Linked DNA regions of Struthio camelus. The protein of the gene in region 3 purifies or fractionates together with the protein of the main gene of each other region. This does not show direct contact. Links are inferred from orthologs where the notes say so. Each region holds a gene or a part of one and is shown on either strand. Other genes may lie near its edges.

Region 1 (3,746 bases), on a different chromosome or scaffold from region 3:
AGCCCCTGGCTGAAATGGTACTCGTTGCTGGGGAAGACTCTTTAAAGTTAACATAATCTCTCTGCTTTATTCAGGGGCATGGGATATGTACAGAGCATACCGAGACATGCGTGAGGCAAATTATAAAGGTGCTGACAAATACTTCCATGCTCGTGGGAATTACGATGCTGCCCAAAGAGGCCCTGGCGGTGCTTGGGCTGCCACAGTGATCAGGTAATGGAGCGTGCGTGGCTTGTGAACAGCGACTTACTGGGGGGCTGGGCATGTTAGTTAGCGTGGAGCCCTTGCTGACTTGTACTCAGCTTTTGACCTAGAAAGAGTGGAGGCAAGGAAGCGCTCGACCTCCGAACAGCTTGTCTCCTTAAGGAAAGGAGCCTCTCCTCTTGCAGGGGAATTAGGGTTTTCTTGTTCTCCGAAGCGGGCAGCTTTCCTACCCCCTGTGTTTCTGGTGCTACGGGACTCTTTTTTTTTTCCCCTTGCTGATTCGTTTCCTAACAAATTTGTGGCTGTTACGGTAGTCCTCAGATAAGGACTCGGCATACGTTTGCTTCTCTCTCGCATTGAGAAGTCCTGCGGAAAAGCTAACCTGAGGCGAGCGAGGAAACCAACGCAAAGCGATAGCGTGACAGGGGAGTTACGGTTGCTTCAAGTGGTCCTTTTTTTTCCCCCTCCCCCCTTGCCAGCAACGCCCGGGAGAAGTGGCAGAGCCAGGTGAGCGGCCGCGGCGCCGAAGACACGCGTGCTGACCAAGAGGCCAACGCCTGGGGCAGGAGCGGCAGGGACCCCAACCACTACCGGCCGGCCGGCCTCCCCTCCAAATACTAACGGGGTCCCTCTCTCCCTTTACCCCGTGCTCCGCATAGCCTGAATAAAGACATGTCCCCGCTTTACCTCGACTCGCCCCTGTCGCACTCGCGGTTCCGCTTGAACGGGCGGCGCGGACCGGTTCAGATCGGCTGGGGAAGGGCGGGGGGGGGGGTGGGAGGGGCACGGCGCGGCGCCGCCCCGCGCCGCCAGGGGGCGCTGCGCTACGCGGCGCCGCTCTGGCGCCGCTCTCTCGCCGCCTCGTTGGCGGCCCGGCGGCGGCGGCGGCGGCGGCGGGGCGCCATGGACCGCAACCCCTCGCCGCCCTCCAGCGAGGCGGAGGAGGACGAGGGCGACGCGGTGGGCGGCACGGTCTACAGCAAGCACTGGCTCTTCAGCATCCTCACGCGCCTCATCGAGGTGCGGCGGGGCCGGGGTGGGGCGGGGGGGCGCCCCCGGGGCGGGGCTGCGGCGCGCTCGCTGTGACCAGCGGCCGCAACGGTCGCAACGGCCGCTGGGGTCCGCGGCGCAGCTCACGGCCGCCGCCTTGCCTTGCCCCTGTCCGCGCAGGTCATTAGCCCTGAGCAAGGGGAGCCCGGCGAGGGCGAGCGGACGGAGCTGGACGAGGAGATGGAGAACGACATCTGCAAAGTGTGGGACATGTCGATGGACGAGGTAGGAGGGGGCCCCGCCGGGACGGAGCGCCGACGTGGTTACGGGCCGCTGCTGCTGCCGCCGCCGCCGCCTTGCCGCGGCCGAGCGCCTTCGGTCCCAGCGGCGGGGCTGGAGGAGGACGGACGGCTGCGGTAGGCAGCAGGCTGAGCGCTGAGCGCCCGCCCTCGGCTCTCCGGTTCAGCCGGCGTTGCCTTTTCCGCTTTGCGGAGCGGAGAAGGTCTGGTGAGCGAGCGGGGAGCAGACCCCTCGCGAAGGACCCCTTTCCGAGGCTGAGCAAGCGCCTGGTGAGCGCTCTTAAGCCAAGCACCCGTTGGCAAAAGAAGGCCTTTTCTTGCTTCCCAGCTGCTGGGCGCCATGCTGATGTTTGAGGGTGCAAAGCAGGGTTGCATGTGAACGTAAAAGAAAAAAACACGATGTGCCAGACCTTCCCCTCCAGGTGTCTCGGGGTTTGTGCAGGGCTAGTGCTTAGGATCAGCTGGCCTAAGTGAGACCGTAGTCAGGACTGGTTTCTTGTATGACGTTCAGGAGTTGAACAGGAGCCTTGAGTCGTTAGGACACCATACCTTAGCTGTATGTGGTAATTGGCTGCAATTACTTCAGGTGCATAGCTTTTATTTTCAGCAACTTGGCTATAGCGATAATATTGATTCTGTTTCTAAAATGGTATATTTCTCTCTAGCCATCATAACGCATCATAGTAAAAAACGTAGTTGTCTCTGACAGATAAACGGCAGCTGTAGATTCATAGAGGCAATTTAATGTAACTTTTTGGATTTTTTTCTGAACGTTCTCAAATACTAGAACCAAGTAAGACTTTTTTTTAATCCAGCTTCTTTTCTCAAGTAAGAGATTTTTTTTCACGTTCTCTCTTTAGACATTTTTGAATAAACATGGAAGATATGTCCTTCACTCCTAAACAGAGAACTAATCTCGTGGTTTTATGAGGTGAAACAAGGAGGAGATTTCTAAGACTTTCCTCCTTTGTATGCTCTGAGCAAGTGCTAATGGTAATCCCATCCTTTTTCTTTTTATGTGCCTGGATTATGTCATGGTCCAAGAAAACAGCATTTCCTGAATTCTGTGTCTGACCCTCCGTGAGATAGAAAGCAAAAGAAACTGAATGTGACTGTTCTGTTTGGCTCCTTGTACAACATACCGCCAGCATCTTTACTCTTAGGGGCTTGTTGAGCTTCTGTTATTGAAGAGTGAGGATGGTAGTATAGCGTGTTATTGCCAGTAATTGTTGGCAAATACTTGATGTTTTGTAATGAGTTCAACATCTATGTTGAACTGTGGACTGATCTATGTGATCCAGTCCTTGTTCTGTGAGAAAAGGTTTGACTTGTGTTCGGAAATTATCAGTCAATTTGCTTCTCCATTTGCTTTTTCCACAGGATGTTGCTTTATTTCTTCAAGAGTTCAACGCCCCAGATATATTCATGGGAGTTTTTGCCAAGTCAAAATGTCCTCGCCTTACTGTAAGTACGGGCTGTCACAAAGCTATCCCATGTTAATAGCAACAGTAGATAGCGCTGTACATGCATTCATAAAATATCGCCCTCCTCTTCCCATTGCATTTTTGAATGAGTAAGGGAGGAAACAGAACACACAAAATCCAAATTTAATTTTTTTTTTTTTTGCACGGTGTATCTAACATGGTCTAATCAATAATTATTTCAGTAATGCTGAAGTTGATATATGTCACTATTGATAAAGGTTTAAGCATTCTAAACCATGTATTTTTAAAAATCTCTATACTCAGAAGATGAGTTTTGCTGGAATTATATTGAGAGCCCTTTCTTTTATGAGGAAGTGAATATCTGAGAGTCTTGCATTTATATGTTGATGTTTTTGTTCTTAGGACTCTATTTTAATAGTAGGGGTGTCAAATTAGCTTCAAAACAGTGTGTGTGTGTGTGTGTGTCATATAAAAAGAGAGAGAGAATGCGAGCAAAGTTAGTTTCAAGGTACAGTCTCTTCCATGGAACACCATAACTATAACAAAAATCTGAATAGTATCTCTCATGAGTATGTTTATGTTTAGGTCAATCTGACAACATTGCTTAGAAGATCCACATCTCTGTCTTGAAGTTGATGGATTGTATGAACTCGGAAATCAAACTGGAAAGCCTCTCTGAACCTTTCTTACTTTGTATGGTGGCTGTGGAAGTAAAATTGTGAACTATGTCGCAGCAGCTTAATAACACTGTGTTTTGACTTTTCAGGAAATCTGTGTGGGAATACTGGGAAATATGGCTTGTTTCCAA
Region 2 (3,746 bases), on a different chromosome or scaffold from region 3:
TCAGGATGGAGATGATCTTTGCTCGGCCCTCCTTGTTTCCCTAGTGATGCCACCTGACGTGATACAGGTGCTTGCAGTGTTATGGCTCAGTAAAGATGCCCCCCCATCCCCAGCGCAGCTTTCTCTAAGCTGGCCGTACTGGGATCTTTCCTTGTGGCCAAAGGCTAAGTCTTGCTTAGGAAGCATTTCCACAGGTAAAGCATTTTTGCCCAAAGCTCTCTGGTCCTGAGGGAAGCTCAGTATCTTGTCTATCTTAATCACGTGTGTGGATGTGGTGTATCCTTTCAAATAAGAACAATATTGTCACTTAAAGGATGTTTTTGAGTTGAAAAAGAACAAAACAAGCAAGCAAGAGTGAGAAGGAGGTAAAATAATTCAGGGGATTTGTCTTGTTTAGTACTGGGAGGAGTAGCTTGCTCCTTGGAAGAAAAATCCTCAAAACTCTCAGTTTATTTCATACTATCACTGATCTGTAGGGACTAAGTCAGACCCTAGTGTAACAGGGAACAGATTCACAGCTACCCCTGGGGCTACACTAGTGCAAAGTCAGAGCAACTAAGGGTAGAGCCTAGCAATAATTTTGGGGGCTCAGATATATTTCTGAAGCAGGAAATGTAAGAGGTGTGGCTCAGGTGTTAGCAGGTGCTAGGGGGGCCAATCACCAGGTCAGCGAAGAAGTGGCAAGGGACAGAGTGAACTGGATGCAGAGAAGTGTTGGAGACCTGCACAGGGAACCTGCTGTGAAGGGACTTTGAGGAGTCCAAAGAGCAGAAAAGGCATTTGGGCCTGCACAGCTGCTGCAGCAGCTCTGGTGAGTCAGACTGCAAGGGCAGGAGGAGCTATGGTGCCTAGAGGTGACAATGGCGGTCAGTGGCCAAGGCAAATGGGAAAGGATCTCATCTCTGCCACTTTGCTTTGCTGCCTCCACAGCACAGACAGCAGATGTTTACTCGTCTAGGTCTTCTCCGTGCTTTAAAAATTCATCACACTTCCTTATCTCCATAATGGCAGAGTGTGCAAAAACCCTTCCCTCTGTTTAAAGAGAGCAAGCAGACACCTCCTACGGGCATCTGCGGAGTGGAAGAAAAGAAGTTCAAAAGGCTCCCAGGAACTCCTGCAATTAAAAACCCAGCACTGAGAGCAGGGAGATGGTCCAAGGTCAAAATCAGGGTTTCAGAACCCTGCCTTCACTTCCTGCCACCTTGTGGGAAGTGTTTAATGCCTTAATATCTCAGCATCCTAGAAGGAAAATGAACAGCAGCCACCCTTTTGGGACAAGGATGAGCTTTGATTCTGGGTATGTACAGCACCTAGCACACGAGGGCCCTGCTGGCAACATGCTACTCGAATACCACGACTGCTTCTGGTCCTTACAGAGCACCCTCAGAAACTGCCAGTCTTTCTTGAGCTGAACAGACAAGGTGAGCTTGGTGTTTGCTACAATACTGCCCATGCTCACTGCTGAAATAACTGCAATATTGCAAAAAAAGTCAAGTAAAGTGTGCTCGTTCTCTTAAGGCACAAGCAATTGTTTAAGGGTTAAAATACTTAAATATAAATATTTAAATATAAATATATTTAAATATAACAGCCTGAAGGACCTGGTTAAACATGTCAAGTGTCAAGGGAGGCAAAAACCACTGAGGCTGTAGTGATATTCTCTTTATACTGCCCACTTCTGACTCAATTGAAACATTTCTGCTCCAGGACACTGTAATCCACTTCTCTATCCAGTATCTGCAACAGAGGAACACAACAAAAAGCTGCTGTGTCAACTTGGTGAGCCACAAATGCATGTTTTATTCCTGTCCAGTGAAGCTAAAGAGCCCTTATCAACACTAGGATCATGCTGGCAACCGAGCAGCCTTCAGCCTGACACTGAAATGTTTAACCCTATTATCCACCAGCAGTGCTCCCTAATTGAGGTAGCTAGCTAAACGAGACAAACAGATCCTACCGGGTAAAAGACGATTTTCTTTTCCCCTCACATTCCACAGCCCATGCAGCAGCCTCTTATTTTTCAGTACAAGCTCCGTGGGATAAGGAACTATTTGTTCACTTCCAAGCACCAGAATAAGCTGGCTGCAGTAAATTCATATCAAAAGAGGTTCCACAAGCTCTTGACTCCTTTGCAAGATCCCATCCCCAGCTAATATCTTCACCTCAGAGGAAATGTTCTCAAGGAACATCTGCTTTACAGTGAAGGAAAGGTTGACTTACCTGCGGTTCAACCAGCCACTCCTCCTCTTCATTTTGCGCTGGTTTTGTATACTTAAAAGCTGAATAAAGAGGGATTTTGTCCTTAGTACTGTAGAGTGTTGCAAATCGTGGCTCTTTGTTGTACTGCTGACAGATTTTCACATGGAACGGCTCGGTAAATCCTTCTGGTGGGACTTGTCCAGAGAAGAACACATTACATTCAGCAAAACCACTTTCATCCTCTCCAACAACTCTGCCCTGGGAAAAGCCTGGGAAAACTGAGAGGCAAAGCAGAAATAAAATTGACGTCTTCATGGTCCACTCCCTTGAGCTGAGGGAAGCCCTATCTGTCTGCTGGATTCGGCAAAAGACCTGTGCTCTGAGCCCATGCAGCAGTAAAGCCAGCAAGCGTCTGGAATTCGGGTGTAGTGTACAAGGGAAATGAAATATGAAACCACAGCCGTTCCCTTCAGGGAGCGAGCGCTTTCTGCAGGCAGCACATTGTGAAACCAAATGTGCGCAAGGCTGCGCTGACACACGCTGCAGACACCAACTGCCCCAGGGAGATAATGCCAAGCAATCTGAAATCATCGGGGCTAATTTGGAAGAGGAGGTGGGAACTCCATAGCAGTGCAGGTCTATAGCTGAACAGCATCAACCCCTCCAGGCTTGAGCCCAGCGCTGGCAGGGGTGTGGTGTGCTGCATTGCAGCAAAGTCCCCAGGAGGAATTTTGGCTGACACAGCCAGAAGTCTTCCCAGGGCTGCCAGGGGGATGCTGCAAAGTCAGATCCACCACCCAGAAGAAGATTAGCTGCCCTCTCCAGCCACAAGCCTGGCCAAGAGAGAGGGAGAAAGAGGGAGAGAGAGGTGGCAGGATATTGCCACTGCTGAGAGTCCACTTTGCCCCTTTTTTAGGGTATCTATTACCACCATTCCTGCCAGCCACATGCTGCAAAGGAGCCTGGGGAAAGCATTCTCCTCCCATCTCTCTTGGAGCTGTGCAAGGCATCCAAAATCCTCCTGTAGAGCAGTATCACCTCACCTTGGCAGAACCACCCTCAGAAGATACTAATAAGAGGCAGAAAGACACAGACCCTCCAAAAAAATCTACCTAAAGGGAATGAAACCACTCCTCTTCGGTTATGCTCAACAGAGGTATTATCTGCCCAGTGAATAGCTGCCTATGACACCTAGGCTACTTCCGGATAAAAGGCTGCTTCAGTGACTGGGAGAATCAATGTTTTCAGAACAGTGGGGTCGGGGAGGAGGAGACTACAGAGCTCTTCCTCAGAGACAAGAAAACATGCAATTTCCCATCCAGGAAGTTAGATATGATCAGATGTACTGCCAACAACTTCCTCCCCACCACCTTAAAAAATCCTAGGTGCCAATAACGTGCAGGTCTCTTTCAGACAATGCTGTTTTATACTGTTACCCTGATTTCCAAGGAAGAACCTCTAAGTGCTACAAACCCACAAGCGCTCCGCAAACTAGTGAAGGAGTAGCCTATACTGCAAATGAAGAAACAGGACAGGACAGAGGGCAG
Region 3 (3,746 bases):
TTCAAGATGCTAGTTTTATTTACCTTTGACGTGCTCAGAGCACCAGCTAAGTGCACTAGTCTTCCCTCATTCTGTTGAGAGACAGCGTGGATACTATCAAGAGGGACCACAAGAGAAAGTCCCTCATCAAGAGATTTGGCTGTCCTCAAAGCTCGTCCCTGCAGTCAAGAAAAACAAAATCAAGTTGTGGAAGATCAATTGTACAGCATCATTTTGTGAAAAATGCTAGCATACAAGTAATCTGCAGACCCTACAGAGGGCTTGTACATTTAGCCGCAAGGAGTTTTCCTGAGATGCTTTTGTAATTCTTAACCTTCTCTTTCTTTGTGTCTGAAGAAGTTTGGGGCAGTACTTCTTATCCGTGCAGCAGGCCCATTGAAGTCATCTAAGCTACTAACCCAAACACAGACCGTTCCCACAAGGCTCTAAAGTCATTGCTCTTCACCTTTTGCCTTGTTCATTATTCTCGAGTAAGCGCAATGATTACACCAGTTAGGAGTCGTCTTCTCAGTCGTTTGACTACTGGGGCAGAAGTTCTCCTTGCCTTGCCATCATGTTACAGTGTGCTTTTCCCTGCAAAATCACTTAACTTTGGAGTAGTTCTTTCTTCTCTTGCAGAAGTATGGAAGAAAGTCATAGGTGAAAATTCACAGAATTTTGCTCCTGCCCTCCAAAACTGCCAAATATCCACACTCTGAGACACCCCCCCAACAGCTGTGATCCTTCAAACACCTATATCAAGCTCATCTCTACCACCACCAGGACTTCCATTGACTGCAGTGGAAGTTCTCAGGACGGAAAATATAAAGCATGCGTTTGCAAGGGTCATGTCTTAAGATTAACTTGCATACTTTAACTATTTTTCAATCTGAAACCAAGACAAAAAATAACACCAAGAATAATTAACATGCTCAGCTTTGCAAGGTGGAGTATTAATTCCTTCAACACAACTATAATGATACTGGAAATGAAGATCCTACATTATTCCAAGAAACAGAGAATGTAATGTGGCTGGTTACTTGCTTGGAGTAAATAATATTGTTTTGTTTTTTTTTCCCCTCTAATTTTAGTTTTTGAGACTGAGCACTAGCACACAGAAATATATTCTATGTAAGCTGCTGCTCATACCAGCCTCTTCCAATAATACTGCCTATAGCCTGTTTCCCCTCAAAGCTTTTGAATCTTATCTCTCTTACTGTAGACAGCCACCGTCTCCACCACACTCTATAGAAAAATCTCTATCTGTGGCTCCGAGATCCCCATTCTTCCATTATATCCCCAGTACAAGCAACAGACTCTCCAAACACATTATTTTTTTCTCCTGGGTGAAGTAATAAGGTTTGAACACAATCATTATAGTAAGCCTGTAAATACAAAACTAGTTGAATGTCACGTCAGCTGCGATGTTATAAAGTAACGTAAACATTAACAGTGTTTCACTTACCTCATTGGTAAAAAGAAGGTAGAAAGACAGAAGAAATGTCACAAGTCCCATCAACATGCCCCCAGAAGTTTCGCTGAGCCTCTCCAGGAACCCTGGTTTGGACTCGCTTGTGATTTTGACATGTTCTTTTTTGCTGCCTGTGTCAGAGAACTGTTGGAGGCAAACCAAAAATGCAGTATTGCTACAAAAGGGCAAGGCGTTCTGTTTCAAAATAAGTCTTTCAGCTTTGTTAAAACTGCTACTCCGCAGCACAGCCCCTCTCTCCTCGGACATAAGCTTTTCCTCACTTGCAACTGTCTCGTCATACTTTCGATAGTGGAAATACAGTCAATAAATAAAGTCGATAGAACTAAATAAGCTTGGTAGAAAAAAAAATTGCTAATATACTGGCCCAACATTTGTTAAAGCTTCCTTCAGCCTGTCCCTCGGACTTCTCTGTTGCATACACGCCCCACAGCCAGGCCAGGAAAAAAATGAGCAATACTCCTGAATTCCAGAGCAGCTACAACACCGCTATAAATAACAAGCTACGTTTTACCTCACCAGAGGATAAGAGCCTACCGCCTTTAGAATAACTGCACCTCGGGCCACAAAAGGAGAGCTAGCTTAACACAAAAGTGTTGTTCCTGTCCTAGAGGGTGCTGCGTTAAAGCGCATGGGTTTCTATACGCGTGTATTTTGGAAAGGGGCAATAACCGAGAAGCAACTGGGGAGCAGCACACGCAGCTCAGGGCGGCGGGGAGGCCCACAGGCCTCGCTCGGGGAAGCCCCCGGCGGCTTCGCACCAGCCCCACCGCCGGCCCCAGGCCCCTCTCCGCGGCCGGGTCCCCCGGGGGAAACCGCCACCCATCAGCGCTCACTCACGTTCCTCGACATCTTCTTCGTCTTCCCCTCGCCGGGTCCCGCCTCAGAGAAGCGGCAGAAAAGCGCCGCCCGCCGCCGCGCCGCCGCCGCAGGGTCTGCTGGGACACGTAGTTCCCAAACGCCGCAGGGCACGCTGGGAAACAGAGTCCTCCCGGCTGGCGCGCGGCAGGCCGGGATACGTAGTCAGAACCCGCTCGTTCCCTTCCCGCCTCGGCGCTCGGGAGGAGGGGCGCCCGCGGCCGCCGGAGGGCAGGGAAGGCGCTTCCGGAGGCGGGAGGTCACAGCGTGGAGCCGCGCGCCGCTGCCCGTTGCTGTGGTGGTAGCGGGAACGGGACGCCGGCGGGGTCAGTCTGCGCGCGCGCCGAGAGGGAAGCTACCGCACCGCCCCGCACCGCCATGTCGTACTGCAGGCAAGAAGGTGCGGGCCGCGCCGGGGCGTCCTCCCAATGTCACCGCCGGGGTCAGGCCGGGCGGGTTCGCCCTGAGGCGGCGGCAGCAGCGGCAAGGGGAGGGGGCCTGTGATGGGGCAACGCGCAGCCGCCCGCCGCTGCCCGTGAGGGAAGGGCGCAGCCTGAGGCGGCAGGAGGCGAGAAAGCCGCCCGGGGGCTGTGTGTGGCGTTGGCCCGGCCCTGCCCGCCTTCCGCCGACCTTTCTCCTCACGGCGGGCGGTGGCCGCGGGGCAGCGCGGCCGCTGGGGGCCCCGCGGGGTGAGGCGGAGCGGGGCCGCGGGCGCGTTGGGAAAAGGCCGCCCCGCAGGCGGCGGTTGGCGGCGGCCGGAGCAGAGCGTGTGCGCGCCTCGGGCCCCGCTCTTAGCTCGCGGGGCGCGGCCGTGAGGCGGCGGAGGCGTGCGCGCTCCCCTGGGGAGCGGTGGCTTCCAGCAGAGGTTAACCTTCTGCAAGCTTTAATAGCCGGAGTTTGCTGCCTTATTAAAAAGCCCAGTAGATGAGCAGCGTGGTGTGTGAGGCTTGATGCTTTTGTGCCTGTGCAAGGTGTTGTGTTGCACGGGTCATGTTATTTATTAGGCTTGGCCAGCTGATGCCCTGAGGGGGGGGGGGGTTCTCCTTTGACTAATGTCAAATGACTAAATGTAAAATTTCAAACTGGTAAAATCCGTTCTCTAGTTCGAAATGCCATTTTGAAATGGCAAACTTTGACACACTGAATGCTGACCATGTATGGTTGTAAAGTAATTATAACCTGTGCCACTCTTTGTTTTGTTTTACTGTTTATTTTAATAACATCTTGGGCCTTTGCAAGGACCCTCTGTAAGTTCTCTTATAGTATTCTACAAAATTACAACAATTATAGTGACGGGGTTAGAGTTTATATCTTTCTAGTTCCTTTTATTTAAGAAATCACTGAATATTCTGCGTTGTAAAGTCTGCTGGAGTACAATACACAGTTGACCAAAAAAAACCTTCCCCCCCCTTTTTTTTAG

Evidence for each region.
Region 1: the proteins of TMEM43 (region 3) and SAAL1 purify together in Homo sapiens (affinity purification with mass spectrometry; 3 studies listed by BioGRID and IntAct, with this or other methods). This does not show direct contact. The link is inferred for Struthio camelus from reciprocal best matches to the Homo sapiens genes TMEM43 and SAAL1.
Region 2: the proteins of TMEM43 (region 3) and ENDOD1 purify together in Homo sapiens (affinity purification with mass spectrometry; 3 studies listed by BioGRID and IntAct, with this or other methods). This does not show direct contact. The link is inferred for Struthio camelus from reciprocal best matches to the Homo sapiens genes TMEM43 and ENDOD1.

Annotation. Positions count from the first base shown.
Region 1 is NC_090946.1:19,858,044-19,861,789, forward strand, and holds the start of SAAL1 (protein SAAL1), read left to right. Parts: upstream 1-1,013; 5' UTR 1,014-1,107; coding exon 1,108-1,224; intron 1,225-1,374; coding exon 1,375-1,479; intron 1,480-2,873; coding exon 2,874-2,957; intron 2,958-3,704; coding exon 3,705-3,746. Other genes in the region: serum amyloid A protein, read left to right, coding at 75-213, 684-825. UniProt on the Homo sapiens protein: Plays a role in promoting the proliferation of synovial fibroblasts in response to pro-inflammatory stimuli.
Region 2 is NC_090942.1:211,866,892-211,870,637, forward strand, and holds the start of ENDOD1 (endonuclease domain-containing 1 protein), read right to left. Parts: upstream 2,885-3,746; 5' UTR 2,791-2,884; coding exon 2,221-2,790; intron 1-2,220. UniProt on the Homo sapiens protein: May act as a DNase and a RNase. Plays a role in the modulation of innate immune signaling through the cGAS-STING pathway by interacting with RNF26.
Region 3 is NC_090955.1:9,007,784-9,011,529, reverse strand, and holds the start of TMEM43 (transmembrane protein 43), read right to left. Parts: upstream 2,427-3,746; 5' UTR 2,321-2,426; coding exon 2,309-2,320; intron 1,595-2,308; coding exon 1,445-1,594; intron 159-1,444; coding exon 24-158; intron 1-23. Other genes in the region: CHCHD4 (mitochondrial intermembrane space import and assembly protein 40), read left to right, coding at 2,705-2,726. UniProt on the Homo sapiens protein: May have an important role in maintaining nuclear envelope structure by organizing protein complexes at the inner nuclear membrane. Required for retaining emerin at the inner nuclear membrane.